Linked DNA regions of Mus musculus. The protein of the gene in region 1 purifies or fractionates together with the protein of each later gene. This does not show direct contact. Links are inferred from orthologs where the notes say so. Each region holds a gene or a part of one and is shown on either strand. Other genes may lie near its edges. The genes, in order: Stk25 and Slmap.

Region 1 (3,819 bases):
TGGGTCGCTGCCAGGGAGACAGACAAAGTCAGAGCTGAATTCCACCCTCACAAAAGACACAAGGAAGGACAGGTAAGGATGTGAAGGCTGGGCCCTGTCCCACCAAGTTTACATCCTCCCTTCATAAACTTCCCCAAACCCCTCAGCTGCCTGGGGTGGCCCAAGTGGATATAGGCCTTACGAATCGTGGGTCCTTATTGAGGCAGGCCTCTACAAACTCCTTGAAGGGTTTGCTGTGGTGGCCCTCCAATGTGGGTGGGTTGTTCTTGGGAATCAGGAACAGGACTCGCATAGGGTGGAGATCAGAGTTTGGCGGCTCCCCCTTGGCCAGCTCAATGGCTGTGATGCCCAGGGACCAGATGTCAGCCTAGAGAGTTATCACACAGGACAGTTGCTACGTGAAACATTTTGAGTGGTGGCAGTATACTCTCACCTCCCATCCAGAACTCACCTTGAAGTCATAGGCCGACTGCTTGATAACCTCAGGTGCCATCCAGAAGGGTGTACCCACAAATGTGTTCCTCTTGATTTGTGTGTCTGTGAGCTGCCCAGCCACACCGAAGTCTGCCAGCTTCACATCACCCTGCTCCGAGAGCAGCACGTTGGCAGCTGCTCAATACAGGATAGGTGGGCATCATCCTTGGCTCCACAGCCCCCCAAAATAACCCTGCATGCAACTCCCTGACTAGTGATGGGATGGTATCCTCTGGCCCCTAGGGACAGCAGCAGATATGTCTTGGGAACTTAGTTTTCCTGGACATTGGCCACTGCTGGCAAGGGCAGGCAATCTGGGGGACCTACAGGAACATTCCTACCTTTGTTCCAGGGCCTGGCATGTTTGTGTTTTCTGACAAGCACCAACAATAGTGACACCTCACATATAATCATAGTGACCCTAACTGAATTGTACAGCTGGAATGGCTCGTCAGGGCATCTATCACTCTGCCTATAGGATTCCACCCTGTGACATAAGGCTCAGCTATCCTCACTAAGTCATTCATGGTGGGCTGGCCCAACTTTGTGAGTCCTCATCAGGACTGGACCACACAGAAGTGTTGCACAAATCCACATCTGAATCCACACACTGCTCCTGCTTTGTACTAGTACACAACTGGTTTCCTTCACATATATGAAATCAAAGATTAGGAGATGTGAGATTAAGGTTTTTTCTAGGCTGGCAAAGTAGCTCAGTTGCAGAATGTTTGCTTAGAATGCATAATCCCCTAGGCTCTACCCTCAGTGTGGCCATTAAAAATGGGGATAAAAAGTAAAATGGACAACCCCCCCCCCCCAATTCCCCAGTTTCCAGGTGGCAGAAGCGTTCCCCACATCCCATGCCCTCAGGCACCACAATCTACTAGGCTCCACATGCCCATCTCTTTCTAGGTCATGGGCAGAACTGCATCCAAGCCCACCCCGCAGGACCTTTGATATCTCGGTGGATCTTGCGCTCTGAGTGCAGATAATCCAGGCCTTTCAGGATCTCCCGCAAGATGGTGGCAATATAGGTCTCTTCCAGGGGACCAGGTTTCAGCTGCAGGAGCACAGACAGGAAGAACTTCAATTGCAGCTACCACACCCATACCTCCACAGCACCTGAACAGCACCACCCACCAACTTCTGAGTCCTGCAAAAGAAGCCTGGGGGCCTTTATGTTCCTTAGTTCCTATAGTTTCAGATGTCAAGGATAATGGGGGAAGTAAGGAGAAATGGGGGTGACAGCTGTTTTCAGAAAACTTAAGAGTTGCTTTAATCTTTTCTGTGACTATAAAGATGGGAATAGGTTAACCAAGGACCTGACACTCTTATTTGTCTGGGGGCTCTAACTGTGCCTATTCCCCTAGCCCAGTAGAGGCCCAAGACTTCTTTTAGCATCAACTAGAGCAAGATGAACAGTGATTTGTTTTGAAACTAACAATTCCTGTTAACATACAGAACTGTGATAGGTAGCCTGAGAAAGGCCACAAGCCTAAAAGTGTGCAGGGCAGTGGTTCCTGGGCCACTGAAAGACAAGCCTCAAGAGCAAGCCGCTCACTGCTCGAGTCTGAACTTACCAAGTCCAGTGCAGAGCCACCACCCAGGTACTCCATGATAATCCACAGCTTGGTGCTCTGGGAGCAGAGAAACCTGTCAGTGCCTGGGCAGGAAATGCAGCAGGAATATCCAAGCGGGGACTCCACAAGCCACCCCCTCTAACTCCTCCAAAAGTAGTCAGCTAGGGGCTTAGCCCATACAGCAACTATACCAGGCAAGTTCCTGCCAAGTAAGATAGGGTTCTAGCCGGGCAAGGTAGTGAATGCTTATATCCCAACACTTGGAAGGATCAGAAGTTCAAGGCCAAATTGGGGGACATGAGACTTGTGTTCAACTCCCAACACCCATATCAGGTAGCTCACAAAGGCCTGTAGCCCCCATACCAGAAGAACCCAATACCCTTTCTGGCCTCCGCAGACACACGCACAGACTAATTGTAGACATACCCCCACCCAGCACAGACAGGTAAAAATAATAACAAAAAAATTAGTATTAACAAATTAAAAGGAGGACCAAGCCAGGCATGGTGGAAGAGGCAGGTGGGTATCTGTGAGTTTAAGGCCAGCCTGGTCCATATAGTAAATGGACAAACAGAATTACACAGTGAGCTGGGCAGTGGTGGCACACACCTTTAATCCCAGCACTTGGGAGGCAGAGGCAGAGGCAGGTGGATTTCTGAGGCCAGCCTGGTCTACAGATTGAGTTCCAGGACAGCAAGGGCTACACAGAGAAACCCTGTCTAGAAAAACAAAAACAAACAAACAAACAAAAACAGAATTACACAGTGAGACCCTGTCTCAAAAAACAGTAACAAACCACCAAAAACAAAACAAAAAAGGAATGCAAGAAGCGGTGGCATACACCTTATTCCTATACTTGGGAGATAGAGGCAGGCATATCTCTTGTGAGTTCAAGGCCACCCTGGTCTACACAGACTCTGTCCAGGGGGAGGAATGGAGAAAAGGCCTCTCTGACCACCCAGCTACCATACCTCTGCTACAGGCACCTGGTGGACAGGCCAATTGCTCAAAGCAGTAGATGAGTCTTCTCTGTACTCTCTACACTCTGCTCAAGTGCCCTCCAGGCAGTCCCTAAAAGTACTGACTGCCTTCAGGGGCCCCTTAGACTGTGCCTAACAGTACTGACAGACATTTTAGAGCCTACTGAGGACTGGCACTTCTCAAGAGAATAGGCTGTTTTTGTGAAGCTGAGATATTTGGAAGGGTGGGCCTCTCTGCCCTTCCAGAGGGATTCCCATGTGCCCACAGCTGTCACCTTCTCTTCTCTCTCCTATCCTTGGACACATATTAATCCCTCTGGAAACAAAAGAGAAAGCCTGGCACAGAACCTTCAGAATGCTCCATCCCCAACCACTACAGATCCCTCCTTCTTGTAGGCACCTTCAGGTAGGAGCCGAAGTAGCGGGTGATATAAGGACTGTCACATTGGCTGAGCACAGTGATCTCCTGTTGGATGTCCTCAATTTCATCCTCGGCCTCTTCCAAGTCAATGATCTTGATGGCCACCACTTCCTTGGTGTGGTTGTCGATCCCCTTGTACACCTCCCCAAATGAGCCTTTGCCAATGCGGTCAAGCTTGGTGAAGAGTTCCTCTGGGTCCACACGAGAATGCTATAGAAGCCAATAGAGAAGAATGTTGGGACACTGCATGGACAACAGCCATTAGAGAAAATACTAGACAGATACTGCCCTGCTGACTGAGGGCATGACCCACTGTAAGGAACTGAAGGGAAATCACCTCAATTCTTTCCTGCCTTTATCCCTT
Region 2 (3,819 bases), on another chromosome or scaffold:
TACTGTGTGTGCGCTTGCATGTCTGTGTGTCTACGTATGTGTGTATGTACACGAGTGTTACACATGCCTAAGTTCTAGTGCATGGGTACCATGGCCCTCAAGTGGAGGTCAGAGGACAACTCTGAGGACTTTCCGTCCTCCACCATGGATTCTATAACCGGTTTTAGTACCCACACTGAGCTATCTCATCATTTCATAGCATATTGATTTGTTTCTCCTTCCAAGTGTATATTAGAAAATGCTGTTCTTTTCTTAGTCTATGGGATGCTGAAGCAAACACTACATCTGCTGTTATGAAGTGCTGACTACATTTCCATCTAGAAGTATGTCTACTTTAAAGGCTTTCAATTTCAACAATAATAGAGGATAGACTAAATAGAATACATTTTCTATTTTCACTATCAGTTTCAACTTTTTAATTTTACCCAATTTTACATCACCAGCTCTTGAGTGACTAATAAACGTCTTAAGCGATTAGCACGTTAGTGACGCTAACATGCGTCTAGTGGTTGACATAGAAGCTGTGATGGCTGGATTAAGAATGTCCCTCACAGGTCACATGTCTGAACACTTGGTACTCAGTTGGTAATGCTGTTTGGGTAGGTCTAAGAAGTGTGCCTTTGTGGGAGGAATATGTCACAGGGTATAGACTTGGATGTTTCAGAGGCTCAAGCCATTCCCAGTGATCTCTAAGCTTCCAGCTCCAGCTGCCATAGATGACTGCTGCCACACTTCCTCGCCATGATGGTGAAAGGCTCCTCTGGAACCCCAAGCCCAAGTAACCTCTTCCTTCTATAAAGTATTCTGTTCATGGTATCCTACCACAGCAACACAAAAGGAACTAGTATACATACCTTTAATTTATCAGATAAATCTTTAATTTCATTAACTGCTCCATTATATTTATTGGCTAATTCTCTCAACTCTTCCTGAGTGCGCTCATTCATCTCTTTCAGGTGGGTACATTCATCTTCAGTATTACTCAGACTTCGCTGCAAGGCAAGTTCACAGGGAATTCAGTTAGAGTAAATGGGTACTTATTTTAAATTTATCGTTCAATTTTATTTTCAATTTGTAAAAAGTGTAGTTCTGAACTAGTCTACATCAACATTTGGATTAAATTTATAAAAAGCTGATTTAAAAGACAAAATAATTTCAGCAACATATATACTAAAACGTAACTCTTAACAATATTATGTTACTCAAGCTGGCTTCAAGTTCACTATGAAGTACAGGCTAGCCTAATCTCCTGTGAATCTCCTGCCTTAGACTCCCAAGTGCGGTGATTATAAGTACACTCTATCGCACTCAACCTCTAAGTCAACAATCCTTAAAGTAAGAATAAAACCATATAACAATTCATCTAATGTGAAAACAGAAAGACACCTGAAACTTTGTGTGTATGTCAGATTAATCAAACATCAATGAACATAAAGCACGTGTTATAGAATGAGACCATAATACAAACTATCCATTATCCATGTCCTCACACATGCTAAGCACATGCCCACTGAGCTAGATCCTCAGTCACAAGAATCACACTTTGATTTTTCATAGAACCTGGACAATATTAACTTGTAAAGCCTAAGATAAAGTGCCACCCTAAAGCAGTAGGTATTAACTTCTGTGGGCAGAACAATCTCATAGGGTGCCTAAGACCATCCAAAAATATGGGTGCTCACATTAGAATTAACAGTAGCAAAACTACAGTTACGGAGTAGCAACAAAAATAACCTTATGGTTGGGAGTCAGGTCAGCACACATGAGGAACTGTATTAAAGGCCTGAGCACTAGGAAGGCTGAGAGCCACTGCTCTAGAGGATGGCTGAAGTAGTAACGTCTCAGCCTTATGTGACCATCGTCAATTATGTGACAAAAGATCAATTCCCACCAGACATGGTGCCAGCAAGTCTTTAATTCCACCACTTGGAAGACAAAAGTAGTCCAGGGGCCAACCTGCTCTAACTCCAGACCAGGCAATGATAGCTCAGTTCCCAGCATCCACATCAGATGGGTGAAAACTGCCTATAATTCCAGGTCCAGTGGATTCGAGGCCTCAGCCTTCTGCAGACACGTTCACTAGCACACAATACCCACACTTACTTCACATAGACATAATTTTAAAAGTAAAACAAATCTTTAAAAACAATGGCAGTAAAAGTGAAATACCTCAACTTCTGAAAGTTTTCTAACCACTTCGATTTTCTCCTGAAGAACCCGCCTCAGGGACTCTTTGGCTGTGGTTTCATAGCTGTGTTTATCCTCCTGCAGTGCAATCAGCTCCTTCCGTAAACTGTCTTCTGTTTGATTCTAGGATAAGACACTCACATCACACCCAAGTCACTTTTCTGTGAAAACTGTTTATCCTTTGAAAGAAACTCATTAAAATACTCAAAATTATAATGTCACGGTACCCACAAATACAAATGTTGGCCTACTATTAACTAAATGTGTATTTCAAAGTTGCAGTAGTAACTTATACTTCAGAAATTACACTAATTTCAATAGAAATGAGCTAAAGGCAAATAGTTTATCTCAAATATTAAGATTAATTACTCGTATTCTGTAGAAGCTATCATAGTTTCAGTTATAAGCAAAAATCATTGCTCATAATTTCATTTGCCCCAAACGGAAGCAGTAAGAGCTTCGTGAGGAAAAAGGAAAGTCCAGGGTTGGAACAAAAACTGTGCAGGTGAGCACAGGGCCTCCAGGCTCGCAGTCGGCTGGAGCCATTAAAGCAGGTGAGAGAGAGCCAGAGAGCCAACCTCAAAGCATTTACTCACAGAAAACTCAGACTGATTTGATCATCCACAAAGATAACTACTAGTATAGACTTAAACACACCAAAATGTACTTCAATCTAAGCAAGAGAGAAAGCACTACATTGTCATTTGCTGCTGGATTAAAACAACAAAAAAAAAAAACCCAAAAAACAGTTTATTCTGTTTTAATCTAGTAAATAATTGGGGGAGACTTGTTTTGTTTTGTTTTTTTTTCTGTAGAAAATATACTTCAGAGTAATAAGATGGTTCATGAAGGAAGAATTCTCTCTGAAGAAGTAAATGAAGAAATGGCAGAATTGCATTACTATGTTAAATATCCTTAATGAAATAATGAACCTCGTGAAGAGTCATCAATGAATGGTAACATCTTAAAAGGAGAGCCATCTGCGATTATGTCTTTGATTGAAGAACAAAACCATCCATGGTGAGTGGACAGGTGAAACAAGTATCATAACCTCTGACCAGACCAATTATCTACTACTTCATGCCAAAGAACCAGAAAAATGCTTGCTTGCTTGCTTTCTTTCTTTCTTTTTCTTTTTTTCTTTTTTTTTTTTTTTTTTTTTTTTGGTTTTTGAAGATAGGGTTTCTCTGTATAGTCCTGGCTGTCTTGGAACTCACTTTGTAGACCAGGCTGGCCTCAAACTCAGAAATCCACCTGCCTCTGCTTCCTGAGTGCTCGGATAAAAGGCGTGCGCCACCACACCGGCTCAGAAAAATGTTTCAATAAACATTTATATAAACCAAGTTTAAATCAAGTCACATTCCAGAAGGCAAATCACTTCGTCAATGAATATCAATCAATTGTAATAGAAAAAGAAATCAGAATTGAGCACAGGTATGCATCACACAATTCTTCCCACTTATATGTATACTTGAATTTTTTTGCGACAAAGATGTGAAAGAATTGTGGACTATATAAATGTTTTAACATAAACTCAAATAACAGAGACCTGAAACTACAGAAAACACCATGAATTCTTCTCTGTGTACCCGAGATTAAATACCTACTTTGGAGCATGCCTGCAACTGGTTT

What was found.
Region 2: the proteins of Stk25 (region 1) and Slmap purify together in Homo sapiens (affinity purification with mass spectrometry; 5 studies listed by BioGRID and IntAct, with this or other methods). This does not show direct contact. The link is inferred for Mus musculus from reciprocal best matches to the Homo sapiens genes STK25 and SLMAP.

Annotation. Positions count from the first base shown.
Region 1 is NC_000067.6:93,625,600-93,629,418, forward strand, and holds part of Stk25 (serine/threonine-protein kinase 25), read right to left. Parts: intron 3,666-3,819; coding exon 3,435-3,665; intron 2,112-3,434; coding exon 2,055-2,111; intron 1,535-2,054; coding exon 1,426-1,534; intron 610-1,425; coding exon 452-609; intron 368-451; coding exon 182-367; intron 47-181; exon of another isoform or gene 8-46; coding exon 1-7. UniProt on the Homo sapiens protein: Oxidant stress-activated serine/threonine kinase that may play a role in the response to environmental stress.
Region 2 is NC_000080.6:26,461,407-26,465,225, forward strand, and holds part of Slmap (sarcolemmal membrane-associated protein), read right to left. Parts: coding exon 3,795-3,819; intron 2,311-3,794; coding exon 2,170-2,310; intron 993-2,169; coding exon 855-992; intron 1-854. UniProt on the Homo sapiens protein: Associates with the striatin-interacting phosphatase and kinase (STRIPAK) core complex, forming the extended (SIKE1:SLMAP)STRIPAK complex.